Nothobranchius furzeri: one gene and its partner. The protein of the gene in region 2 purifies or fractionates together with the protein of the main gene of each other region. This does not show direct contact. Links are inferred from orthologs where the notes say so. Each region holds a gene or a part of one and is shown on either strand. Other genes may lie near its edges.

Evidence for each region.
Region 1: the proteins of galnt16 (region 2) and zinc transporter ZIP11 purify together in Homo sapiens (co-immunoprecipitation; 3 studies listed by BioGRID and IntAct, counting the BioPlex papers as one, with this or other methods). This does not show direct contact. The link is inferred for Nothobranchius furzeri from reciprocal best matches to the Homo sapiens genes GALNT16 and SLC39A11.

Annotation. Positions count from the first base shown.
Region 1 is NC_091756.1:23,976,526-23,980,444, forward strand, and holds the start of zinc transporter ZIP11, read right to left. Parts: upstream 2,394-3,919; 5' UTR 2,334-2,393; exon of another isoform or gene 2,251-2,333; intron 1-2,250. UniProt on the Homo sapiens protein: Zinc importer that regulates cytosolic zinc concentrations either via zinc influx from the extracellular compartment or efflux from intracellular organelles such as Golgi apparatus. May transport copper ions as well.
Region 2 is NC_091758.1:16,994,468-16,998,386, forward strand, and holds the start of galnt16 (polypeptide N-acetylgalactosaminyltransferase 16), read right to left. Parts: upstream 2,338-3,919; 5' UTR 2,125-2,337; coding exon 1,927-2,124; intron 1,921-1,926; exon of another isoform or gene 1-1,920. UniProt on the Homo sapiens protein: Catalyzes the initial reaction in O-linked oligosaccharide biosynthesis, the transfer of an N-acetyl-D-galactosamine residue to a serine or threonine residue on the protein receptor.

The DNA of each region.
Region 1 (3,919 bases), on a different chromosome or scaffold from region 2:
TCCTGATCTACCTGGGAGGCCCCCACTGGGTATGTACACGGCAAAATAGCAGCTCATGTCATCACTTTATAAGCCTCGTGATATCTAGTCATAGCAATCAAAGACTACCAGATTCAATGACGTCAGCCTAAGGAGTCTGAACCAACCACACACACACACACACACACACACACACACACACACACACACACACACACACACACACACACACACACACACACACACACACACACACACACACACACACACACACACACACACACACACACACACACATCGAACATCACATTCATTTCCAAACAACACAGAGTTAGTCCTGATAGATTGTAGAATTTATAATAAAATTCTTAAACGAGCCCAACTCTCTCTTTTCTTGTCTCAAGGTCAATACAGAGTGTTAAATGAACTCCCTGATGATAAAAACAACCTATTCTTCTGATTATAAAAACTAGATCTACTTACAGTATATTAAAATACAACTCTAGATCGTTACATCACTCTATTTCTCTACACAGGAGATGTTAGCAACAGAGCTAACTATCATTTTCATTTCATAGCCTGGCAAAACAGGGAGAAGGATCCAAACGGAAACTGAGGCCAGGAGACAGCTCAGTCTCCACATTGGCAGTCCTGCTCGGTGACAGCTATTTTGCGTCCGTCACGAATAGCATGGGCGTTGGGGTTTAAAACGTTCATAGCAACAGCCACGTTGGGCTAGAAACAAATCCTGTGGACTGGTGGAACAACGATGGACTCACAGTTAGAGTTGCATGGATTAACCATTGTGACAATTAACCCCAGTTAACCCATCGCAAACAACAACAGGTGAGATGTTACCGTTTCCACAGAAACCCACCTTTAACCCTCCCCCCCACTGTCTTTATGGGTGACCCCGCAAGGAAAGTTGACCATTGAGCAGGATTGAGGTCCATGTGGCAGGGATGAGGTGGTGCTCACTCCTGCCACATGGACCCAACGTGGTCCATGGTCAACTTTCCTCACGGGGTCAGACCCATTAGGACAGTGGGAGGGTTAAACATCTCAAATATCAGTTTTAATGCTCTTAAACAAACATACAAGCAAATATCTTCCCCATCTAGGCACTGGTACTTAGGACGAGTTTAACTGCAACAAAAATTCAGCATTTAATCAGCATCTGTTTGAAAAATCATCAATAGTGACAAGGAGTGAGTCGATCCGACCTGTTCTCTGATTACTTGTTTAGTCACTTGACTCCTCTAAACCAAAAGATTACAGCTTAGGGAACACACCCATAGTTTGTTTCAGTATGAGGCAAATATTCACCGAGTCCTGTTTGCTCTGGTCCAAATATCCTGGATTTCTTTATTTACATCTCTGTGACCAAACCCAACAGGCTGACTCACAGCTTTATAGGTCCACTGGTGTATGCCGGCTGCAGGAACAATTACCTTTCTATCTTATTTCAATGTCTAAAGATTTAGCAGATGATCAAATCTATTTTCAAATGATCCAAACCAGCATGACAAAGCGAAAAGATCCAAGGTCACCTTTAGATTATTAGAGTTCATTTTACCACATAAGCAGTTTAAGATATTTTAATCAAACCAGAGAAAACTGTTTAGTAAATAAATACAAGCATCTTGGCTTACAAGCTGATATATGCCAGTGATGTGCTGTGTGCTGTTGTCATGCAAAGATGAGACGAAGCAGATTAAATCATAAATGTGGAACAGAAGAGGACAAGGCAGGGAATTCACAGTCCTATTATAAAAGATTCCTGCTGCAGCAACCACAAAAATACCCAAGAAGACATTTTGCTAGGAGACTTTTTAAATATTAAATAAAGGAGAAAAAACTAAAATGCAAACAAAAGCAGCAGCTATAAAAGTTACTCTAATAACGGAATAAGCTGCTTTCATTCTTGACCTGAACATTGATAAAGCCATGCTAAGTCAGTCTGGACAACGGTGATGAAAGTGCTGCTCAGACTCATTCATGTGCGGCTGAATTAGAAATGAATGACAGCTGACACCATTAACAGCACAGGTCTGACTGGTCTCCCGGTACGCTCCGTGCGTCTCTTCACCGTGTGCTCGTGAACGCATCAGCGTGAAATCAACGAATAAACCGACAAAAGTCCGACAATTAATGACATGCAAACGAACTCCAGTTAACAAGTAGCAGAGAAAGATGAGAGGCGGCCGACTGACTTCACAGTTCTGCCATTCACGACTTAACCGCTATTATTAACATGATGAAACAACTTGCCTTCATTCGGCTGTCATAAAAGTAGCTCTTTGTGTAAGTTATTGGTAGTTTTCTGGACATAAAAGTCAGGTCTACTCACTCACCAGCGGCTTCCGTGACTCTTCTTTATTTACTTCCTGTTTTCTGAGACACGTAGCTGTGACAAGTTAAAACCCGCCCCCACTGGCTGCTCATTGGTTGTGTATTTTCACGTGGTGAAGGACTTTGACAGATAAAATAAAAATGTATTTCTTTAGAAGATAAAATACAATCTTTTGTTTTTGTTTTATTTTATGAAATCAAATATAGAATTAGCAGCTAAGACTTACTAAAGAAAAGTAACAACATATTTACTGAAAAATGCAACAATACCATTGAATAGTAGCATACTAAAAGATTATTCATAAATAAACTTTGTGTACATGTGCAAAGTATTTACATACATGAAATGACAAAATTCATAAAGCCACAAAATCTGACAAGAAAATAACCCATATATTTGAATTTTCAATGAAAAAACACATCAAAGATCTGAGATAAAATACACATAATACCCATAAAAGGGTAATAACAACAACAATAATAATAACAATAATAATAATAATAATAATAATAATAGCAATAATAATAATAAATGGCCTGTATTTTTATAGCGCCTTCTAGGGTTCTACAACCCCCAACGTGCTTCACAACACAATCTGTCATCCACACATTCACACACTGGTAATGATGAGCTACAATGTAGCCACAGCTGCCCTGGGGTGCACTGACAGAGGTGAGGTCTGCCGAATACAGGCGCCACCGGTCTGACCACCACCAACAGGCAAGGACGGTTAGATTTGCATTCTCTGCCGGAAGCCGGGATCGAACCTACAACCTTCCAATTCCCAGACAACACGCCCTAACTCCTGAGCTACTGCTGCCCCTGACACACACACACAAACACTCTAGTCTAGCATTTGTTGCAAGGACCACCATTGACTTCCATTCATTTTAGTGACTGTATTGTGACTAACCCTACCTCTAGCCATAGCCAGTCTACTCTTAACCCTAACCCTGACTTGAACTTCATTCACATCATACCTCTAAAACTAACCAGTAGAGCTATGTGGCATTGTCCCATAGTGAGAACCAGCAAGATGTCCTTAGTTTGCTGGTAAAAAGCTTGTTTTGGTCCTCACTTAGTTGTGTAGATGGTTACACACACACACACAAACACACACACACACACACACACACACACACACACACACACACACACACACACATGTGCTCGCTTTTGAAATGGAAATGGGGAGGGTCGGTTGGTTCGCTGGAGTTTTCGACCAATAAAATTGCGCCCACATTTTCAAAGTTAAACACATCTCTTTTAATAACGGTAGTTTCTGCTTCAGCCCTCTCCCCCCTCCCCCTGCGCAGCGGCCGCAAACTCACTGATGCGCCTGCAGCCTCTCAGAGTTCCTGCTGCTCTAAACATTAAAATAATTATTTCATTTTCTGTTCCTCACTTCTGATTACCTTCAATGGTGTCTGTTTGTTGCAACCACCAGGTACAAAAACTAACTTGTTTTTATTTGACTATTTTTCTGTCCTGTCTGTTTATTATCTTCCTGCATCTCATCTCAATCCTAAAGAGAAACTAGGCTGCTACATGGCTTCATATATATTCACCTTATGAGTTACCTTTGAA
Region 2 (3,919 bases):
GGAGCGCCTCGAGTCCCTCTGGAGGAGCTGGTGGAGGAGTTCATTTAAAGGTACCTGATCCGATTGTTGGTAAGATTATGAAACAACCTTTCCTCATAGAGAAAATGTAGAATTGCTGACTTACACCTGGCTCAGAAACTACGTATACTCAAGTATCATGTTTCTAATTTAATGCTTTACTTTAAATAGAAATGTTATTTCAATTATTTAACTTCTAAAATTCAAATTATTTTTGTTGTTTTCAGATTAAACCAAGTTTATGTTAAACTTCTTCCCTCTAATGGGTTTTGTCACACGTTTTTTCTGAGTAAAAGTTCCCAAACATGATCATCATCAGCAGATGTGATCCAGGTCCTCTTGTCAAGTCCTAACGTGGTCTTATCCAACCCTAAAAACCAACAAAAGCACAAAACCCAGCAGCCTGATCGGGGTCCACGCAGCGACTGATCAGAGAATAAATGTTACACGGTGACGGGTTTGTTGATAAGAAGCACGGAGGTGGGCTGAAGTCATTTGTTTGCAACGTGGTTAGATCAGAGTTCGGGAAAAGGAATTTGAAAAAGTTCTCATGTGTTCCTGTGAAGTTAGACACAGTGCTGAGGAATTAGAAGAAAAATGGAGGAGCGATGTGGAACCAGCAGTAACAGATGATGTCCTCACTGTAGCTAATGAGTGTAGGGCAGAGAGATGGAGGAGATCCACAGACGAGGGCTCAGATCCAGGAAGAGACGGAGGTAAGGAAAACAAACAGAAGGACTGACAGAAACACACTGAGCTGATGAAACCTCAGGGGAGGAAAAGAAAGTCATGGATGGAGGGAAGAAGGAGGAGGAACGGGTCAGCACAAGGATGTGGTGTCCATATATCCAGCAGGCATCGGGTCAGTCCACCAAAACAAACAACGAGGACATCTCAGCTGGGTGAGGGGTCAATGATCCCGCGGACAAACCCACTATTACAAAACACGCCGCAGGAGTGCCTGTTTAACAGTGTTCAGCCTGTGGACGTCTCCGAAAGTCAAACTAGGTCCAGATCTGATTTATCCAATCACAGTCACTCAGTCATGTCATACAGGAGGGGACGGTCAGGAACCCTGGAACCCTGCAGGGGCCCGACCACAGCTCAGACTGAGATTATTCATCTTCTACTGTGTGAAAATCTAACTATGGAGGGCAGATTACAAAACATAACAACTCTTTACATCAACATAACCGAATCTAAATACAAAAAAAGTTCCTCCTAATAATTAAAGTCCCACTGTTAGGAGGATCTAAATGTCAGAACCCAGACAGGAACATGAATAAGGGATCCAAACCCACATTTACGACTTTAGATCTGTTGTTAAAGACAGCAGGAATGGGATTAAATAACAGCCAATCATAGCAAACATCTAAATAATACAGCAGGGAACCAAAGCACAGGTCAGCTCAAGGGTCAGAGGTCAACCTCACAGCTATGGGAATCCACTGGTTAGCTAAATATACATTTATCTGATTATATTTGTATTCATGATTTAGCATATAGGAAAAGCTGCTGATAATAAACAGATCCATGTTAGGAGGAGCTAGAAGTGGACACAGATTTATGACTTATAACCCCCTAAATGAGCCCAAATAACTGTTAGGAAGCTTTTATCTCCTTCTGTTCGACCGGATCTTCTAATCTCAGCTGGGGTTCTGTCTGAATGTTTCTGTTCGGCAGACTGAGATGGGCCTAAGGATCCCGACCCGAACCCTTTGTTTTATCCACTTGCGCTCCTGGAGGGTAACTTCTCCGGTTCGGGTTCGGGAGGATGTGATCTGGCTGTGACATCCAGCTGAGCTGCACCATCAGTCCAAGTTTCATGCACACAGGCGTGCACCGCACGCACACACACGCACGCACGCTCCAGCCTCCAGCCACAGAACCACCGAACCGCTCACTCACAATCAGCGGGATGGTCCGCTCGTCTCGGTGGATCTCCAGCCGACCGGGGACCCCCTTCTGTCCGTGGTTCCGGACGCGGGTCTGCGCCGCCACCGACGGAACAGACTGGGGCTTCTGGTCCTGCCACAGGTAATAAAACGTTCCCAAGATCCACGCGACTGTCAGAATGGCGATGGCGTTGGCCCGAATCCTGCGCATGGTGAGCCCATAAGGAGGCCACCGGAGGCGAGCCCGGCTGGTTCTGGTCCGGTACGCGGCGAGAGGTGATGAGTCGGACCGCAGAGCAGACAGACAGCCAGAGAGCAGCTCTTCTTCAGCCGGAGATCTGCCTCTCTGCTGGGATCAGCGCACTGACGGAACCGCGGTCCTAGCGCCGATTCTTCACCCCCCACCCCACCCGACGCGCGCGCACGTTGTAAACCCACAGCTGCTGCAGAACCCACCTCCAGCTGCGAGAGAACACACGCACGCGCACTAGGACCAGGGCCAGATTAACACTTCGTTGTACCCTGGGCAACAATATTCAAGGGCTCCATCATCACGACCCAAGGATCACCATAATGTGGTCACATACAAAATATTTTTCTGTAATATGCAGTAAGTATACTCAATACTTGAATGCCTGACATCATGTAACCTGCTCAGGGTAACCTTTGACCCACCTCGTGTGGACTGACCAATGAGGAGAGGGTCTTAACTTGAGGCCCTCTCTTCATTGATCAGTCTGCATGAGACTGACTCTCAACTGACGTTCAGTCATAGGCAGCGAAGCGTCTCTGTGCAGCGCAAAAGCCCGGGTGGACAGTTTGTTTAACATAGGGTGATCATATTTCCATTTCCACACAAGAGGACAGGGGATCTGTGCCTATGACGTCACACTATGGCAACGCCACACAAACCATGTTGGGACCCATGTTTTGTAAGAACTAAATTAATATCAGATTCTGCCAATAAAAGGGCTCTAAAACAATTCATATGTAAATATTTTGCATATTTATTACAAAATCTCATTTTTCTGCTTTAGTGCTGCAACAAGGTTTTATTAATAATAAATTATTATACCTTTTGTTTTACTACAGCATCGGTAAGCTTCCTGTGCACAGATTATTAAGGATGCTTGTTTCAGCTGTGAGATTAGACGATAGGATCAATGAAAAAATAAGTTGTCACACACTCCATGGAAACTTTCAGAGAATCCACAAATAGTGGCTTTCAAATGGTTTTGTTACTTTTTGTAAGTTAGAAAAGAAGCAGATGAGACAGCATGTCTGATAATTTAGTTTTTCATCTGATAATATTAGAACATGTCAGTAATGTCTGAGGGTTTTTTGTAAACACTGTATAACTAATACTCCTGGAGAGGGTATGGATTACACAGAGGCTTCTGGGGAGCCCAGTTATGGGGGGGGGGGGGGGGTCATTTTGCCTTGGCCCCCAAAATGCCTTGAAACGGCCCTGGGTGTGTGACTGAGTTTTGAAGGTGATCTGAATTGTATCAGATGTATAAATATTACATGTGTATAACTTGTTGTTTTATCCATTCAGCTGTTACCAGTTTGGGGGTGAAACTTGATGTAGGACTTAAATTTGATGCTCACATCAATTCTGTGATCCGGTCCAGTTTCTTTCACCTGAGACGCCTTGCTAAAATCAAGCATATGCTGTCGAGAGCCCACCTGGAGCGGGTACTGCATGCCTTTGTAATTTCTCGTCTTGACTACTGCAGCTCTCTCTTCGCAGGGTTGTGTCAGTCAACACTGCGTCGCCTACAGGTTGTGCAGAACAGCGCTGCCAGGTTCCTGACTGGGACCAGGAAACGGGACCACATCAGTCCAGTTCTGGCCTCCCTGCACTGGCTTCCGATTTCCTATCGCTCACAGTTCAAAATACTCGTCTTTGTTTATCATTTCTTCCAGGGTGGTGCTCCCCCCTATCTGGCCACACTCCTGAACAGACATTCCCCATCACGCGCTCTGCGCTCCTCTGACCAAGG